3 linked regions of the Xenopus tropicalis genome follow. The protein of the gene in region 2 interacts with the protein of the main gene of each other region in a pairwise test. Links are inferred from orthologs where the notes say so. Each region holds a gene or a part of one and is shown on either strand. Other genes may lie near its edges.

Region 1 (3,755 bases), on a different chromosome or scaffold from region 2:
CACTTCGATGAAGTGTCTTTTTTATGTGACAATGCTGTAATATCCCAACCACCACGCTGGAGTTAAAACCTGATAACTGACTTTGGAGGAAAAAAATGGCTAAAAATATGTCTCTTACATTCCCAAAAGGCAGCAGAAGTTTTTATACCATTAAACTCATTGCAAAACAAAGAACCATTATTTAAATTTTTAAATTTTGAGTTTTTAAGGACAGAGCAGCTTTATGCGCATGCTCGGCCACACACATTCACAACTGGCAATGCTGCCAGCTGATGATGTAGGGACAGGGTATGCGCAGTAGCACTGAAAGATGCCAGGTCCTTACAGAAGATTCTTAGATTCTTACTGCTGTTAGTCTCTACATTTACATGGTGGAAAAGGGGATAGACCAGTGATTATTAACCAGTGGCTCATGAGCAACATGTTGCTCACCAGTCCCTTGGATGTTGCTCCCAGTGGCCCCAAAGGAGGCTTTTGGGCAAGTTTTGGTTGCATAAAAACCAGGTGTACTGTAGCCCCAGGAACATTTTTAATGCTTATGTTGCTCTCCAACTCTTTTTACATTTGAATGTGCCTCACAGGTAAGAGTTTAGTTTAAGTTATTAAACTAAATGAAAAAGATCCGTTTTTGATTTATTTTACTTTATAGCATACATGGCCTGACAAGAGGAGGTAAGACAACCTCAACATTTATCTTTTGATTGAATAAGTGGCAAACATTATGATGTGATTTTCTGTGCTCATTTAGTACTGGTTTACTAATAGAAATTCCCTTATATGCCTGCATGTACTTTACTTTCATTCGTTTCTGAAACTACTGAGGTGGTACTGCTACTTGACTATACGTAATCTTACAAAAAAAAAAAAAAAAGTTTCATTTTTCTCATAGGGCTAATTTGCTGTGTCATATGGCCAGTGGCCCCCACTTACCTTTTTCACTTATACATGTACAGTTCTACAGCTTCTGTATTTGTCTGGTACAGGACATGAACCACCCAGTGCAAGGTATTGTGTATACACTAAGTTCAGTATGCAATGTAATTAGCTAACTTAAAAAAACCCTAGTGGGCTTATTTATCAATTTTTTATTTTGTAAATTCAAGTATGTTTTCAAGTTGAATTATTTACCTTCCTCTTTCCAGCTTTCAAATGGGGGTCACTGACCCCAGCAGCCAAAAAACTATTGCTCTGTGAGGCTACAATTTTATTATTGTGGTTGCTTTTTATTACTTATCTTTCTATTGAGCCCCTCTACTATTCATATGTTTATCAATCTCCCAAACCACTTCCTAATTGCTAAATAGGGACCCTAGCAACCAGAAAAATGCTGAAATTTCAAACTGGGAAACAGGAAAAATTGGGGAAAAAAAAGTTAAATAATTCAAAAGCTACCAGTAATAAAAAATGAAGACCAACTGCAAATTGTCTCAGAATAGCACTTTACATCATACTAAAAGTTAACCCAAAGCTGAACAACGACTTTCACAATGCCCTTTAGTTTTACAGTTATAGGAATATGTATAAGGACCTGTACACACTCAATTTACATTCAGTAGGGAAGCCTAACCCATATATTGAGACCTCCTGTGCAACATCAACGTTTTGGGGGTTGCACCCTGAATGCACTTAGATAAAAAAGGGTGTATATTTTCACTTCAAGGGTAAACAGAACCCACATAGAATGTTTTAATTAAGTGACTTCAGGTATCTTAACAACATGTTAAATATCAAAAAGTAGTTTCCTCTCCATGTGATAGGTCGGATATAATGCTCCATTCTAATCCAAGTAACAATCTGGTGAATTTGGGATCAAATGTTTTGGTTCACACACAGGTGTAGCCGCAGCCACTTAAATCAGCTTACAGGTGAACAACCCAAATAAATAATAATGACATATATTACATTACAAGCAAATCAATGTCACGTCAGTCATGTGCATCTGATGAAATTCACCAACACAAATGACCAATGTAAAGTGTTCGACTACAATATGTCCCTTATGTACCTGTGCGCACATGTACTGGGTATTGAAGTCATATTTGGAATAACATCTTGTACTGTCCACACATATCACGCCCCAAATATAACAAGATGACACTTGATCTCATCAAAAATATATTACGTTTCCCTTGTTACCTGTAGATTTGTCCCGTTGGCAGCCATAGATTATATGGTTTTCATCCGGAAAACGCGGGCGTTTCTATATATCAACCTGCCTCGTTCACCTCCGTCTTTCGGGATACGTGGTAACTAAGTTTAAACGCCAAAGCCCCGATAGCGTTCGATCTTCCGGGTACTCAAAATGATCGGGAGTCGTCTCACTTCCGTATTACGGACATGCTTCCGGGTACGTCACGAAAACAGCAACCAATCATCTACCCAGAAGAGGTTTATCGTGACGTTAAAGCCGCACCTCGATTGATTTAGGTACTTACGATGTAGGTTTCGACCGAAGGATGCTGGTGCGCAAGCGCAAGGAGTAGGGTGGTTGCTGACAGATCAGCAGCAAATGTAGTCATTGTACTTATGACTCACCGGCACCTGACTTTATTGGTTTCTAAATGATAAAGGTTGGTTGCGGGGAACTGACACAACACTGAATAGGCTTTAGCCTGACCTTTGTGAGTAAGTTATTTCCAGTCCCGTCAAAAGATATATTGGCCATCGTGGCTTATTAAGGTTTATGGTCTCGAACTAATAAATTCACCACAAAGGAGTAGTTGACCATATATTAAATATAAGTATAATGTAGTGGGATTCTAAGACAATATGCAACTGGTCTTCATTCAAAGAAATTCATAGAAAAAATCCTGAATAGAAATGCTAAATAATACAAAGTAGCATTAAAATTGTAGGTACTGTGGTAAAGAACAATGTCCCATTCGTTTTTTGTAACAACAAAAAATAGGAACATGTTTCTTTTAATTCATAGAATAGAATTGTAGGGACCCATAAGGTTAATATGCCCCTATGGCTTTAAACCCTACAACCTCTTAGTTGCTGTTACTGGGCAAAGACCCATCTATCTAGTTTGTCCTTTGCCTTATTGGTTATTTGGTTGACCACTCCCTTTGCACTCTCATTTAGTGTTTAGCTAAGGGGTGTGTCTTCCTCTTTTGCTGCATCTGTTGACTCAGGTGGAAGTTCCTCTGAGCCTGGAATCAACAGGGCTCTAGTAAAGCCAGCCTACCCTAGAGAATCCATTTTATCTCTAGAGAAGTCTGGGAAAGGGACCCCATGAATGAGAAATAGCAATTATAGAAGAACCCCTTAATATCACCCTCTAGGAGAGTGAGATAGTAAGCTAAGATAGTAGGAGCAAGTTCTGGCTCCAACCAGGAGGTTAGCTGGGAGTACCCTTTCATACAGGCACTGTTGCCTATTGTCCCCTGTCAGTTTTGCATATGTGCCCCTGTTTAATATAGGGTATGAACTAGTTTGTTCTTAAAAGGAAATATTAATTCTTATCTGGTGGGCTGTATTTAGATCCTGTGCCACTCTAGGCACTGGATCTTATCACTCCCCAATTTCTCGGCACTTCCAACTGACATCACCCTCTACTATACCCCCCCACTCCACCCTCCACCACCAGATCTGCACAAGTATCATCTGGCAGCGGCTAGAGAGGTTATTTTTTATTATATAGGCACCATAGGGTGCCTATATTTTAATATGGCCCTGCCCTGCTTGTAACGAGAACTGCACTATGGATCCCTGGGGTGTAGAACTTGAAAAATGGCTAGTGCAGTGTCAGA
Region 2 (3,655 bases):
CAGCGCTACACATTAGAACTGCTTTCAGGTAACCTATTGTTTCTCCTACTCCCATGTAACTGGAGGAGTCCCAAGCTGGACTTGGATTTCTTACTATTGAGTGCTATTCTGATACCTACTGGGAGCTGCTATCTTGCTCCCTTCCAATTGTTCTCAGCAGTAAAGTGTGACTGAAGTTTATCAGAGCACAGGTCACATGTTTGTGGCACCCTGGAAAATGAATATGGCTAGCCCCATGTGAAATTTCAAAATTAAATGGAAAAATTTTTTTGGAAAAAAAACATGTTTTCCTATGACAGTATTCCTTAAAGTAAATGTTCTCATACCCACCACAATAACATTCAGTTCACACTAAATGAATATAATATAGCCAACCTGCTTGAGCACTCTCTGTATGGCTTCCTCCTCAGTTTCCTCATCGCTGTCAGGCAGTTTATAGCTGTCTATAGTAACTGCAAACAAAGCATATTGTAGCAGTGACAGAATATAGTTTGTAGTATAAACATACAGAAGAACAAAAATCTGTTGTATTTGTACACTAGTAGTCCATAAAGTGGTATCTTCATTCATTTTACACAGAGAATAAGACATAATAGGAATAACTCCTTTCTTTGGGGCTTGATACTAACCAACTAATAAACAGCATGGTCAGGTCTTTATTATAGTTATGCCCTCACCATCATCACCTTTTTCTCTTATAAGGTTTTTCCTCTTTACAGTACTTCTAGGGTTAGGAATATTCCAATATAAAGCACTGTTTGATAATCTGCAATCCAGCTGTGTTAAAACTACAACTTCCAGCATTCCCTGGTATCTGTAGTTTTAATGAAAAGAGAAAAGATATAAATTCTCTATATCAAGATATAGTGTAATTTAAGTCTTCGGCAAATCCTAGTGTTTTTCTGCCTCTATAACATTTCAGCTCGGTGGGAGGCCGGCAAAACGCTCAGAATTGTCCCTCAGTTCGTTTTAATGATAATAAGCTGGACCGTGCCAACCCAACAATTTCTAGTTATGCTTTTTTTTCAGTCCTCTCTGGGATTGGTTTTGACTGTGCAAACCCCAATCAAATAAGCTATGCCCTCTGAGACAAATTAAAGATGGATCTATTTGGCTAAAGCTGATAAATGCAAAAATGAATAGCTGCTACCACACTCCTGTGGGTTTCATTGCCAGCACGTAACACTTCCTTAAATCATCTTTACAGTATTATCAAGCATTGGGCATAATTGAATACAGTCTCCCAAAGAATAATAAGGTCACTAATTCTGAAACAAAAGGTTGCCATGCAAAAAGCAGAACTGGGAAATACACGCACCAGTGGGGTGGTTGGCAGGATAACAGCCAGTAACAAAAAAAAAAAAAAAAAAAAGGATTCATTGGACTAGATATATTTCATTCATATATTTAAACCCATTACATGGAAAAATATTGCTTTTAAAACCTAAGAACAAACCTGGGCACAAATAATTTCCTTTGTCAACCCTAGATGTTTACGGTACAATTAAAACTCTTCAGTACTTCAAAATCTATCCAATATCAAATCAGAATAATAAAATATGGTGAAATGAAAATCTTTATGCCTTCCTATTATCCAAGTTGCAGGACCGTAAAGAAACAAATAAGGAACACTACAACCTTTTTTTATTCTCACTATGGTTTCCTTTTAAACAGCTGTCAGCATATAGATGAGATCAGCAGCCATGGTGCTGCCCATACATTTGTCTTTCAAAGCTTAAAGCTGGCCATACATGGGCAGATTCGCTCGCTTGGCGATGTCGCCAAGCGAGCGGATCTTCACCCGATATCCCCACCTACGGGTGGGCGATATCGGGTAGAAAGTAGCTTTAAAAAAAAATAATCCGATTGTTTGGCCCTGGGGCCAAACGATCGGATTACATTTGCAGCCATGGGGCAGTCGGTTCGGGGACCGCATCAACGAGCCGACGCGGTCCCCGATCCGACTGGATTTTCTAACCTGGCAGATCGATATCTGGCCAATTTCAGGCCAGATATCGGTCGGCCAGGCCCCTCGTTTCTGCCCCTACACGGGCCGATAAGCTGCCGAGTCGGTCCAATGGACCGATATCGGTAACTTCTATCGGCCCGTGTATGGGGGCCTTTACTCTTTTCAATTTTTGGCCTGACATTTCTATTTAGGATCATGCGAGTCATAAATCCTTATAATGTGGGTACTGGCCAATAAGGAATTCTGTGTCAAACAGCAGTTGGTCTAGTTAGTATATATATACCTTTGTCTGGGTCTTTGCCTTGTAGCACAGCCAGCCGTTTGGCTGTCTCCAAGAACTTTTCTGCCCTTGTGTTCTCATCTTTTAGCTCTGCTGCAGCTTGTGACAGGATTTTGTTCTTCTCTTCCTCAAGTTGTGCAGGATCCATTTCTGCCCAGCTGTCCTTCCCATCTACTCTATTTAGGTCATTCTTAGGTGCAGCACTAAAGTCTAAGGGTTAAATGGGAAATAAAAAGAAGTACTAAATGGGTAAGTAAAAGAAGTACTTACCAGAAAAAGCATATATCAAGTCATACACATTTGAGAGTTAAAGCCATACCTGACTTACAGTAAATGCAATAAAATGTCCTATTTAGTGAATAGCATGTTTCATCATGCCATATGGCTTATGTCACACAAGGAGTTAATAAACTGCTAATTAAAGCTAACAAGAAATAAGGTTCTTTGTATTCCATGGGTTAAGTAGACTACTACGATCCCACAAGAAACATTGAAACCTATTTTCCTACCTACAAAATTGACCAGTAACAAGTGGCAACTACTGATAATTGTGACATGAGCCAATGAATGTGTATTGCAGTTAATCAACAAGTAGATCAATATTTTGCTGACTTAACTACCACAGAAGATTGAACATATTTTATTGCCCCTCACAGAAGAATAATAAGAATATATTAACAGAAAAAAACACCTGTTACAGCTTTAGCCTCTTCTGTGAGTGCTGCTAGTGTTACAATGTAGGTGTCAGTTACCTTGTGACTGAGGAGCTTCCTCACAGTTTTGATCAATGGCCACCTCTTCGTTCAGCTGAGTCAGCAAGTCCTCAGCCCTTTGGCCCTGTGTTCTGGTGTCAGGTGGCTGGTGAACCTAGAAAACAGGTAGTTAAAATGTATCAATCCCAAGTACCAATGCAACAATGTCGTCTCAATGTTTTTTTCTTATAAAGGTTTATTGACACAAAGGGGCACACTTACTAACCCACGAACGGGCCGAATGCGTCCGATTGCGTTTTTTTCGTAATGATCGGTAATTTTGCGATTTTTTCGGCGTCTTTACGATTTTTGCGTAAAAACGCGAGTTTTTCGGCGTCTTTACGATTTTTGCGTAAAAACGCGAGTTTTTCGGCGTCTTTACGATTTTTTGCGTAAAAACGCGTGTTTTTCGTAGCCATTACGAAAGTTGCGCAAAGTCGTGATTTTTTCGTAGCGTTAAAACTTGCGCAAAAATCGTAAAGACGCCAAAAAAATCGTGTTTTTACGCAAAAATCGTAAAGACGCCGAAAAAATCGCAAAAAATACGAAAAAGTCACAAAATGTTCGTTTCCAATCGGAATTTTTCCAATTCGGATTCGAAATCGTGTCTTAGTAAATCAGCCCCTAAGTATAATTATTTAAAGAGACATGTAC
Region 3 (3,755 bases), about 40 Mb from region 2:
GGATCCAGAAAAAAAAAATAATTGTGACAGCACAAATGTGATCTATCCTGCAACCTAGAGTGGAAGTGGACACGGTGGTGCTAAAAAGATTTTTCTTTAGGGCTTTTAGAAAAAAAGAAACTATTTTTCAGAATATACTGAAAATATTTTGCCTTCAATGTTTTACATATTTAATTAAATGACATGAAGTATAACTTTAAAGAACAAATAAAACTAAATTCACCAGGGGTGAATTCACTGTTCCAGTGAATCCAGTTGCTACGTTTTTCCCTCGGATTGCTAGACTTATACCTGCACATGCAGGGTCGGACTGGGCTGCCAGGACACTGGAAAAATACTTGGTGGGCCCCAGCGGCCCAGACTCGATCCTGTTTCTGCTTCCCCTGCCCACCGATGTCCTCCCCTGATGCATTGTACATACGCTTAATCAGGGGATGACGTCAGGTGGGGGAGGGTTAGGGGTGTGCGGCGGGGGCCCCTGCAGGGGATGTGGCCGGCGGAGGTACCTTGGGGGGTGCAGGGCCCCTGGGCAGTAGCCCCTGCACCCCCCAGTATGACCCTATGCATATGCAAAATCAACTAACATTCTTCCTATTCTAATAAATTACAAATGCCCAAATATAGATCTGCGAGAGGGGAGCTTGGGAAGTAAAATGGCACTGCAGTACAGTACTCCATTAGAAATTACTTTTTTTTTTTTTTTCCTTCATAGGAGTGCAGGCTCGGGGAGTATTTATTAACATCAGAGACAAACATTACCAGCAGGGTCGGACTGGGACTGGGACACCAGGAAAAATCCGGCGCTCCCCCTACTGACTGTACCTCCCCTGACGCGTTCAATTTATACATGCTCAGGGAGGATGTCAGGTGGGGGCCCTGCAGGGGGGTTAGGGGACGCGACTGGCTGGGGCACCTGCAGGAGCCCCAGTGGGCACTGCACCCACCAGTCCAACCCTGATCACCAGTGATATTGCCCATAGCAACCGGATGACATTGATGCACTGATGACATCTGTATCAAATGTTAATAACTACACCCATAGGTGACTGAATTCACTGGGAGGTGCACCCTAGGTGAAATTAGCTTTCCTTGTCCTTAAAGGTCACCTTTATATATTTAAAAATTGTTAAATTTGTGTTTTTATCATTTTGTTGCTTAAAGCAGAAGAAAGGGAAAATCACTGGGAGTGCCAGGGGGCACCCACCAGTGACTGTAATGGCTTACTTTTTATCCCAGGCTGGTGCTCCTGTTAGGAGAAAAGCATACCAGCCCGGGGTAGCTGTGAGCCAGCCATTCTCGTTCTTTTCTTGCTGCTTGCGCACAAGCAGTAGAGTAAAAAGCTGAACTAACAAAAAATCCAGCTTTTTCACTCTGCTGCGTATGCGTGGCACTCCCAGTGATTTTTAGCTTTTCTTCTCCTTTAATTTACCTATTACAGGTATGGGATCCCGTATCCAGAAACCTTTTACCCAGAAAGTTCTGAATTACAGCAAGCCCATCTCCAATAGACTCTATTAAAAGCAAATAATTCTAAAAAATTATTTTCTTTTTCTCAGTAATGAAAATAGTACCTTGTACTTGATCCCAACTAAGATAAAATTAAGCCTTATTGGAGGCAAAACAAGCCTATTGGGTTTATTCAATGCTTAAATTATTTTTAGCAGATTTAAGTTATGGAGATCCAAATTACAGAAAGATCCCTTATCCGGAAAACCCCAGGTCCTGAGCATACTGAATAACCGGTCCCATACCTGTATTATGTTATAGGATGGCCTATCCTTAGAAACTTTTTAACCAGTCTTTCAATTTTTTGGATTATGTACAATTCTCTTCTGCCGCTTTTCAGCTTTAATACAGAGTTTTGGTTGCGGGGCTTAGTGTGCCCTATTTTAAATGATTTCACTTCTATTCAGGTACTTTTCTTTTATATTGCACTCTCTCATTCAATCAACTGCTGGTGGCTAGTGTAAACAGGTGCCTAGTAACCATATTGCTGCCGACATTTCAAACTGGACAGCTGCTAAATACAAAACTTACAAATAAAAAGACCTGCATATTTTCTCAGAATTTTCCACTCTAAAACATAAGTTCATGTAAAAAATCTTGGCGTCACTGGCAAACATTTGTGTTTTGCTTACCTGCTACTACTGAGTGAATATAGGCTTGAAGTCTCTATTTCCCAACAGATCTTAATAACAATCTCGCCACTCAAGAGCATACATCTATGGATAGCATGGTAATAACAACCCGACCCATGACTGTGATGGAACTATAATACATTCCTCTGTACGCTTTCCCTTCTGCGATCAACAAATTTCGCGGCTTTAAGCCCGGGAACCAATCCCCTATCCTACTGCAGCCGTATAACTAACACCATTCCAAACAGAACTACAACAAATCCTTCCTCCTGGCAACCTTCTTTTACCCACTCACTGTTCGTATTTGTTTGTTTCCAATAAAGTTAAGCAAGATATATTTGCGTAGCTGCTATCCAATCATAAGCACAGAGGAAACTAAGCCGCCAATCATAGAAGACACGAAGTCTCTTTCGCGAGAGTTTGGCTGGTAAAAAAAAACAGGCGCGGAGAGCTCTTAACCAATCAGTATAAAGTGAGTAAAACTGTTGTCGGCTAGGTACAGTGTTTTTTTGCCAGACAGTTCGTTTGTAGGCGTGGTTACAAGGAGGTGGGTGTCAACCTATGGGCGATAACGCGCCAAATTTCAAAGGCGCGCTTCCTTCCTCTGATTTCCCGCCGTGGTCCCGGTCAGAGTTGGGCTCAGCTGGTAGCGGCGGCTCGGTGGGAACCGTGACGTCACGCACTCAGTCTCCCCCGCTATATTGCGACTCCCATGGGAAGTAATTGCTAGGGGGAGATTTGTGCATGAAGAGTACATCTACTGTAATAGTGTGGGATGCAAACTATATTGAGGTCTGCAGTGTTAGGTTAGGCAGCCTTAGTCGGTCTAGTTTCTGTTCTGTACAAGGGCATTGTGTTGCTGATAGAATTAGGTGAGATGGTTCTTCTGTGCGAGGTTTAGGGCTGCTATTAAGTATTAGTGTGCTGCACTGCGACAAAGAGCTCCACCTAAACTTATAAATAAAATCTATATATTTAGACTAGCAGGGACAGTATTTCATTGTGGGTAAGGGACTCCATTAAGGTAGTGGGAAAAAGGTGGGTTGGTCAGAAAATTGGCAGGCTGCCATGGTAGGGTCAGAAGTTGTGCTTACACAGGTACAGCCCTGTTTCCAGCTTTTGCGCATGGGCTCAAGCCCAGGACAGTCAAGCATAAATGCAAATAGCACAGCGTCCAGAGATTTGTATACTTTCCTGCCAGACTCGCCATGCTGCATCTACCGACTGGGAGCCCAGCATGATTTATGTGATGTCCCCCTCCCTGGAAAACCTGCTGTCCATGCAAAAATACATGCAGAGCGGGAGCTCTCAGGAGACTGGAAGGTTAACTTGGAAAGCTGCACTCACTTTGGTAAGTTTGTAGCCAAATAGTTCAGGATATGTAGAGATTTCATCACTCTTATCTGGTGAACAACTATTTCTTAGGTATGCCCAGGCTCTCTTTGTTTTGGGCTCATTGTACTCCACCTATCGCCCTTTATGTTTGTTATCCCAAGCCAATGCTCACACACCCTACTTAGCTGTGTTGGTAACCCTGTGAAACATACAGCGCTGCTCACAAGCCCACAGAGTGCTCTCATTCTCAAAGCTTTTATTTCCCCTGCCATAACTGTAAAG

The links. The genes of interacting proteins can lie anywhere in the genome.
Region 1: the proteins of zfyve19 (region 2) and vps4b interact in binary tests that used the Homo sapiens proteins (3 or more experiments, as listed by UniProt). The two-hybrid records come from large-scale screens. The link is inferred for Xenopus tropicalis from reciprocal best matches to the Homo sapiens genes ZFYVE19 and VPS4B.
Region 3: the proteins of zfyve19 (region 2) and cchcr1 interact in binary tests that used the Homo sapiens proteins (3 or more experiments, as listed by UniProt). The link is inferred for Xenopus tropicalis from reciprocal best matches to the Homo sapiens genes ZFYVE19 and CCHCR1.

The regions. Positions count from the first base shown.
Region 1 is NC_030682.2:85,893,124-85,896,878, forward strand, and holds the start of vps4b (vacuolar protein sorting-associated protein 4B), read right to left. Parts: upstream 2,314-3,755; 5' UTR 2,164-2,313; coding exon 2,137-2,163; intron 1-2,136.
Region 2 is NC_030684.2:115,170,701-115,174,355, reverse strand, and holds part of zfyve19 (abscission/NoCut checkpoint regulator), read right to left. Parts: intron 3,117-3,655; coding exon 3,002-3,116; intron 2,460-3,001; coding exon 2,253-2,459; intron 453-2,252; coding exon 376-452; intron 1-375. UniProt on the Homo sapiens protein: Key regulator of abscission step in cytokinesis: part of the cytokinesis checkpoint, a process required to delay abscission to prevent both premature resolution of intercellular chromosome bridges and accumulation of DNA damage.
Region 3 is NC_030684.2:75,143,579-75,147,333, reverse strand, and holds the start of cchcr1 (coiled-coil alpha-helical rod protein 1), read right to left. Parts: upstream 2,520-3,755; 5' UTR 2,139-2,519; intron 1-2,138. Other genes in the region: tcf19 (transcription factor 19), read left to right, coding at 3,207-3,489. UniProt on the Homo sapiens protein: May be a regulator of keratinocyte proliferation or differentiation.